2 linked regions of the Cricetulus griseus genome follow. The protein of the gene in region 1 interacts with the protein of each later gene in a biochemical or structural test. Links are inferred from orthologs where the notes say so. Each region holds a gene or a part of one and is shown on either strand. Other genes may lie near its edges.

Region 1 (4,268 bases):
TAAATTGGTTAATTTAATAGTTGCTTACATTACCTTCGTCTTTAAATTTTAACAAACAGCATACAATTTTAAAATGTTCCAAATTGTTCTTTACCACATTCTCATTTTTAAGTTCTGTGCCTTCATGGAAAACTGCGTTTAGTGTGTGTGTCTGCAGCATATAGTCCTTGATTGGATCCTTGCACATACCAGGCGATGTGGTGTGTTACCCACAGTTTGAATTGTGTTCTGTGACTGTCTGCAATCCTGTATCTGCCGTGGGTTTTTTGTTTGTTTGTTTGTTTTTTGTTTTTGTACAACTGCAAATCAGACGGTTGCGGGGCCACTTGTGAGTGAGATGGCAGGGGTTCAGGTCTTTCTGCAAGCTAAGGAAGAACAGGAAAAGTTATTTGTCTCTGAGCCTCTTTCTTCTTGTGCAAAATGTAGGCAAGCATGAAAACCCCTCGGGTTGTCCTGAGGGATGGAAACCGTGTAGGTAGGTTACCTGACCTGTATGTACAAAGAAAGCTAACTGCATACTGACAGCACTAATAGGTTTTATTTAAAAATCCCCTGCTCGTTTCATTTTTCAGACTTCTTACCCTGTTGTTTTATTCCTGTCGTTTAAGTTGGAGATGTCGACATTGCACTTTAGGTCTCGAATAAGCTCTCAAAAATCGTGATTGCTCAAGGACCTGTGTTTACAGAGTGAGCTTTCCAGTGGGTACCTGTGGAACACAGGCCGCGGTTTGTGGTCTTGGGAGAGGCCTGCTCAGGAGTGGTTTCCTCTGGGATGGAAGCGGGGGCCTCGGGTTCAGCCTTACTCTGCAGGCACCCGGCCACTCCGTGCAAGCGTAGTCTGGGGGAGCCGACCATTTCCCCCTAACCCTGGGGTGGGAGCTACGTGTGACCATCTGTCCCAGGTCGCCAGCGAGGCCTGAAGTTCTCCCCAGAGACAGTGGGCAACAGGTCTGCGGCCAGTGGGCGGAGCTCCGCCCGTGCCCTCCTGCCTCGTAGCCAATCAGCGGCTCCAAAGTGGGCCACCGCTTGGCAGAGTGGTGACGTCATCGTATCCGGGAGGTTTCTGAGGCCTTGGCCAATGAGGCGCGGGTGCAGCAGCAGTCTCTGTACTGGGGTTGCCCAATGACCGCAGAGCCCATGGGGGCCCGGCCGTCGGCATCAGCCAATGGGAGGCAGGCAGGAGCACGAGGCGGAGTTGCGAGTCCTGTGGCCAATGGGCTGTAGGGGGCGGAGTCCGGGCCTTGTCAAGCACGGCCAACCAGCGGGAGGAGCGGGCTTCTGGGGCGGGGTCGCGGTCACTTCCCCAATAGCGGCGGTCCGGGGGCGGGCTGTGCCGCGGGCGACCCAATGAGGGACACCGCTGCCGCGGGCCTGTCAAGGGACGGGGCCGGGGGCGGGCGGCGGCGAGTCGGGATAAACACTCGGCGGCCGCTGCTGGGATCCGGGCTCCGTGCCGTCCCAGCGCTGCCCCTTCTGGCTGGCCAGCGCGGCGGCTCCTCGGTGTTCCCGGCCCGCTACCCGCGGGCAAGGAGAGGCGGCCCGCCGGGTGCAGGATGGCGGCAGCCGTCAGGATGAACATCCAGCTGCTGCTGGAGGCGGCCGACTACCTGGAGCGGCGGGAGAGAGGTGCACGGCGGGCTGCGGGCCGGGCGGGCGGCCGCTGGGGTGGTTGGGGCGCGGGCCGGCCGCGAGCGCCAACCCCCGGGCCCGCGCCCCAAAAGCCGAGCGCGGGGGGCGGCGAGCAGCTGGAACCTTCCACACCTGCTCCGAACCGAGGGCGTCCACGCCAGGAAAGAGCAGGCATTGTTCTCAGAATTCCGCCTGCCTGCACCCGGCCGGTGCCCCGGACTCCGACAGACGGACGGACGCGGGGACAGGGTGTCAGATGCTCTGAGCCCATTCATTAACGGGACCCCTCGGTTTTCTAGAAGCTGAACATGGATATGCCTCCATGTTGCCGTACAGTAGTAAGGGCAGAGATGTCTTCAAACGGAGGAACAAGCCCAAGAAAAACAGCACCAGTAGCAGGTAACTGTTCCATGTACCCCTTCTCTGTAGCTAACACTAAGACTGCTGGTTAGTTGACTCTGGGATTCTAGTCCTACAGATACGTTGAGGGTCCGATAATGCACACTTGGTGCTAAAAGCCTTTTCTTTTTAAGTTGAGGAAACTGAAGAGAAAATGTTTTACATTTCATTATGGCCTTTTTAAAAATTAATTCTACTTTTCACTCTCTGAACAAAGCAAAACTCCATGCTCCATGGGAATAGCAGCAGGGTCACTACTTTTGCCTTCTTTACAAGTAACAGAGTTTGCACGTTTCCTTTCATTCAAAATGCACCATGTTATCAGTTGATTTTGCTGGTCATAGTGTAGATTTTATAAACGAGCTGTCTGGCCTGACACAGGTGGTAGAAATTTATATTTAACGTGTAAATTAAATACAGTAGTTTGTCTGATAACCCAGTTGTAACCTCTGTTTCTGATGGCTGAGCAGAGTGATTGAGCTTCTTCGAGAAGGTGCAAGTAACATTAGGATGTCAGCCTTTTCCTGTTAGCCTCACAGATTACCTTCTAGTCCTCAAAAGCTGTGGATTTCACGGCAGTGTTTAGCTAATGACTGGGAACTCACAGCCCCTGATCCACAATGACCTCTCACCTCTGTTACTGTATCTATATCCTCTTCCTTGCCCTTAAAATACTAGTTGGAGCTGGACATGATGGTGCACATCCTTGATCCCAGCACTCAGCAGGCAGAGGCAGGTGGATCTCTGTGAATTGGAAGCCAGCCTTATCTACACTGGGAATTCCAGACCAGCTACATGTGAGACTACATGGCTACACAGTGAGACTCTGTCTCAAAAAAACAAAGACAAAACCCAACTAGTTGGTAGGAGTTCGTGTTACTAGGGCCATTCAATTTAGGCCATGCCTGAAATCATTGACATTTTCGTCAGCAATTTAGAATCCTAATCCCTCCCCTTCATGAATAACTTCCCACAAGCACATAGAGTATCATATAGGGTAACCTCTGTGGCTTAGTACAGACCACTAAACCCTGGGAAGTTCTCACTCACACCTAAAACTCACCCACCTTGTCCTTGGTTCACCCTGTCCATAGACCTTAGTGTTGGAATCACAGACTGGGCCACGCTCCTGACTAAGGCACAGGAGGGGTGGACCTGACCTGGTAATTACCTGGTGGGTTTTCCTTGTCCTCTCATCTAGCATAGCCTGGCGGTGGTAGTCAGTAGCGCTGCACATGAGCACTGCAGCCTTTGAGGAGAATGCTCACACTGACATGAGTCGAACAGTGGCATCAGAAAGGGCTCTGCTGCATTTTGTAACAGTTTCACATAGGACTTCAAAGGCTTGCTGTGTTGCTTGTTGTTGTTGTTTCTGTGCTAGTGTATTCCACGTTTGCCTTTATTAATACCACTCCTAAATTAGGAGGAATTGTCCATCTTGCTAGTCTTAGACTTTAATGCCTTAACACTATTTTTCCTGCTTTATAGGAAGATTGCTGGGGGTATTGAGGAGTGGGTAGTAGAAAGGCATTGTGTAGTGACTTGGTCCCAGAAGGATGATTTTAAAAGTATAGTGAGAACTTGAAATGCTAAGTCAAACACTAGAGTCCTTCTCTTGCCATTAGCCTCCTGGAAAGTGGCCACAGTTCCCGAGGTTTGGAAAAGCTGAAAACCGTTGTGTTAAGAGGCTTGCTTTCTGTCCTTAGAGATAGACTTGTTGTAGCTGTCTATGTGCTTCACTAACAGTGACGGGGTGTCATGCAGTCAGTGTGGAAAGGCTCCCTCAGAGTCCAGGATTAAAGTCTGAGCAGGTAGTTTTATGTAGGCATGGTCTCTTCCATGGCTGTTGGCACATCTCTCACCTGGGGAGTGAGAGCACCATCAGAGAGTAGCTGGTCACCAGAATCAACCTTCTGCCCAGGGCCATATGACCATAAATCTGAAATGCGAGTGCCAGGGAGATACTGCTAATTCACAGAACTCTTTGCCAATAACATTCATGTTCAGGTTGAAATATTATGCTCTTTGTTTGTGGAGTCTGAGGAAATTTGGACAATAAAAAAATGAAAAAACAACCATTATTTCAAACCTCCTGGGAACTGAAAAATGCAATTTGTTTTAAAACTGCTTTTATCAAAAAATTAATAATAATAATAATAATAATAATAATAATAATAATAACAACATTCATAGTGATTGCTAGTTGCTTTGGAATCATCCAGAGAACCAGTGGATTAGAA
Region 2 (3,601 bases), on another chromosome or scaffold:
GTTCTCCTGCTATGCAGACTTGGTCTTTATTCTGTCCCATGGTTTTTTTTCTCATATTGCAACAGGCATCCCGGGCCCAAATCCTAGACAAAGCAACAGAGTATATCCAGTATATGCGAAGGAAAAACCACACGCACCAGCAAGACATTGATGACCTCAAGCGGCAGAATGCTCTTCTGGAGCAACAAGGTGAGCAGCCAAGCTCGTGGGGCAACTGGCCCTGCTGTGCCCGGCCAGGCTGGGCCTTTCCCACCTGAGCCTTCGGTCAGAGCCAGAGGACCATGCCTCAGAAGCATCCTCAGCCCTGCTCCACGGGCCTTCGAAGTTGAGTGTTAGCGCCATCCTGAGGAAGGACCAGACCCTCCAGTGAGGAGATGGAGGAGCTAGGGAGTTGAACATCCAAAGGCTTGTATCTTTTCTGGCCTGATCTCTCCCTTCCTTGGGGCTCAGGTGCTCTGCCTGCAGTAAGGGTCACACCTGGTGTCAGGTATCTGAACAGAGCTTTGAGGTCCTTGGAGTAGAATGTGCCATGTAAGTACAAGAGTCTCCAGGAGTTCAGGGACAGTGAGCCCTCCCCATTGTCAATAGTAGTCCAATCAGGGCAGCCTATGGGCCAGGCCCCTGCTGTTCTCCAATGCTCACACCCGCCTTTTCCTACAACCACAGGGGAAAGCGAGAGCTGATCAAGTTCTTTGTTCCTGGGGAATTCACTTCTCTTCCTCCCTCATGGAAGATGCAAGTAAAAGGAAATGCAAGTAACCACCTGGGTTAGAACATCTCACATAAAATAAATAACATGAAGGGTTGATCCTCCAGGCTCAAGCTGAGCTGAACCAAGGGATGGGCAGTGGGTGGTGGCAGCGGGTTGGATGATGGGCCAAGCAGCCTGCATGTAGGGGTGTCTGTTGAAAAGCCCAGGTATTTTGTGTGTATTGGTGACTTGCTTCCAAGTGTCCAGCTTGTCATTCCAAGTGGATTTTGTTCATAAAAGCCAAGCCAAAAGTTTTCTTTGACCCAATATATTTTGTCATCCTTTCCTGCTATCATTGGGCCTTCACACGTTCATGGAGCCTGGCATTGCTAGGCTAGCTTCTCTTCTGTCGTTGTATTGCTCCATCCAACAGGGAACTCTTGCTCTGGTCTCTCTGCTGGGTCCATGGCAGGACGGTGTCTCATCACAAGCCTTCTCTTCAGGGTGGTATAGCAGAGTGGCTGGCCATGTGTGCTGGGCCCGTAAGCCCAGCTGGGAAGGAAAAGGGGGAACAGCCACCAGAAGGGAATGATTTCTGAGCCACCCTGTGCCTTGGGGGCCAGCAAGCAAACCCTTAGGAAGAACAGGCTGGACCCTGAATCTGAAACTTGTTTTCTCCGGATCTCCAGAAGGTGGTAACATGCTCCCTTGGTTGCCTTTTAGTCCGTGCACTGGAGAAGGCAAGGTCAAGTGCCCAACTGCAGACCAACTACCCCTCCTCAGACAACAGCCTCTACACCAACGCCAAGGGCGGCACCATCTCTGCCTTCGATGGGGGTTCAGACTCCAGCTCAGAGTCCGAGCCTGAAGAGCCCCAGAGCAGGAAGAAACTCCGGATGGAGGCCAGCTAAGCCATGTGGGGCAGGCCAGCAATAAAAACTGTCGTCTCCATCGTCTCATCCTCTTCAGTTCCTCGTTAGAACCCTTGAAACCATTGAAAGACTCTTTATTTTCCTTTTCTCTTTATTAATTGTTATTTTTGCATAGAAGCTCTTGGACAACAGCTCTCATCCGGTCCCTGTGTCCACTATTTTTAAATGTATTCCCTTCAGGGGTTCCTGTCCCCACCAGAAATTTTAAACCAAAACACCCTAACTTGGCAGCTCTTTCTGTGGAGGACAGACAGCCGGCCAGACCTCTGTGTACGTGGTGTTCCCCCCCACCCCCAGCTCCTCCAGCCCTCAGAGCGTGTGCCTGGAGGGTGCCTGCTGCACCGGGCCCCTCCCAGTCCCCTCACCTCTGTTTGGTGGACTTTGTGACTCTCTGAACTGCTCTACTTTGACAAGATGACCAGATTGGAGTAATCAGAATTAACCCCCTCCTCTGTAAGGATTGTTTTTTGCAAAAGCTATCGATCCTGTTGAAAGACCAGATTCTTGAAGAAGTTTGTGGTATAAAAGGAAAGCGGGGACAGAACTGCAGAATCCTTGGCATGTTTCACTCTTCAGTTGTTTAAGCCTGCAGAGCCAGCCTTACAGAAGGCCACGTGACACTGGTATGTATAGGAGATGGCAGCAGTGAAATGGCCTCCCAGGAGTGGTGGGGTGGCTGTTTGTGGGTGGGACAGGGAGGGAGTCTTAGGTGGGGTAGAGGTTTTGTATTAAGGGCCAGTGATGATGTTTTGATATTTATTTCCTGCTACTGAAATTCAAATCTGAATGAAATGCCCCTATTTCTGATGATGTCGATATTGTAAAGCGACAGATTCATAAAGCAATGATCAAATCTTCATTTCTTTCTGTGTGTATTTCTAAGAAATAGAGCCAACTTTTGTATGTAAATACCAAGAGCGACTTACCTGGTACTAAACCCACAGCCCAGCACAGCCTCCCTGCCCTACTTGCCTCCCTCTGGTCCTGGAACTTGTCGCCACTGTGCGATCCAGCCCTGGCTCTGGCTGTGGTCAGCAGATCCCAGTGAAGGGTTTCATGTCTTTAGGCTTCATTTCTTTGTCTTTTTCCTACTCTGTTGCCGGCATTTTGCTGATTTCTAGTGTATACTCTGTAGTCTCAGTCGGTATTTGATTCCATTCCATGGAAATAAAAAGTATGTTGTACATACTGCCCAAGAATTGTCTTGCAAGTTAAGGCTTCCCCCTTTACTATAAGAATATAAATAAAGACTTATTTTATCCTTTTTGGTAGTGGTGTCTTCTTGCCCCTGCAATGGCCAAGGTAGTTGAGGGAGGAGCCTTCTGGAAGCTACTGGGCCTCTGGAAACTTGAAAGAAAAGCAGAGATCTCTCACTGGAGCCTGCAGAGCCAGGAGCGGCTGTAACTATACCTGTTTCTCCCTTGTGTGTCAGCCTGAAAGTGGCTAAGTGGATGGTAGGAAGCAACTTTCAGGCTTGCAATGGGTAATCAGTTGGTGGCAACAGTTCCCGATAAACAATGCTCTTTGGAGGAATTGATGGCTCAGAACTGTGGCTCTTACTCTCCTGGTAAGGAGTGTCCCGTGTGAGAGGTGGCTGGTATTGGCCAGGGTTTTTCAGTTTCTAGAGAATTCCAGTGACAAAGAGGAAACAGCAGAGCTGCCAAAGGCTGAAAGTCAAAAAGATACCACAACATCAAGTTAACTACTGTGGACCCAGCTCCAGCCTGAACTTCTTTGACCTTTGAAAGAAAGAAAAGAATTTCTGGCCAGAAAGCATCTCCATTTGGTTTTCCAGTCTGGCTGACAGGAAGTACTGCTTTCATAGACCAAGGGACGAAGTGAAGCGAGGTAAGTTCTTTGAATTCGAATGAAGAGAGTGCTGGGGTTTCCCTCCCTCAGATGTCAATCTGCAGTGTCTGGTTAATGGAAGTCGGTGGGTAGGTCATGTGTGTACAGGAAGCAGCATCAACCCTCCAAA

What was found.
Region 2: the proteins of Mxd1 (region 1) and Max form a complex in vitro, tested with the Homo sapiens proteins (4 studies listed by BioGRID, with this or other methods). The link is inferred for Cricetulus griseus from reciprocal best matches to the Homo sapiens genes MXD1 and MAX.

The regions. Positions count from the first base shown.
Region 1 is NC_048601.1:58,414,275-58,418,542, reverse strand, and holds the start of Mxd1 (max dimerization protein 1), read left to right. Parts: upstream 1-1,359; 5' UTR 1,360-1,553; coding exon 1,554-1,626; intron 1,627-1,928; coding exon 1,929-2,028; intron 2,029-4,268. UniProt on the Homo sapiens protein: Component of a transcriptional repressor complex together with MAX. In complex with MAX binds to the core DNA sequence 5'-CAC[GA]TG-3'. Antagonizes MYC transcriptional activity by competing with MYC for MAX binding.
Region 2 is NC_048598.1:126,586,696-126,590,296, forward strand, and holds the end of Max (protein max), read left to right. Parts: intron 1-65; coding exon 66-189; intron 190-666; exon of another isoform or gene 667-767; intron 768-1,414; coding exon 1,415-1,602; 3' UTR 1,603-2,888; downstream 2,889-3,601. UniProt on the Homo sapiens protein: Transcription regulator. Forms a sequence-specific DNA-binding protein complex with MYC or MAD which recognizes the core sequence 5'-CAC[GA]TG-3'. The MYC:MAX complex is a transcriptional activator, whereas the MAD:MAX complex is a repressor.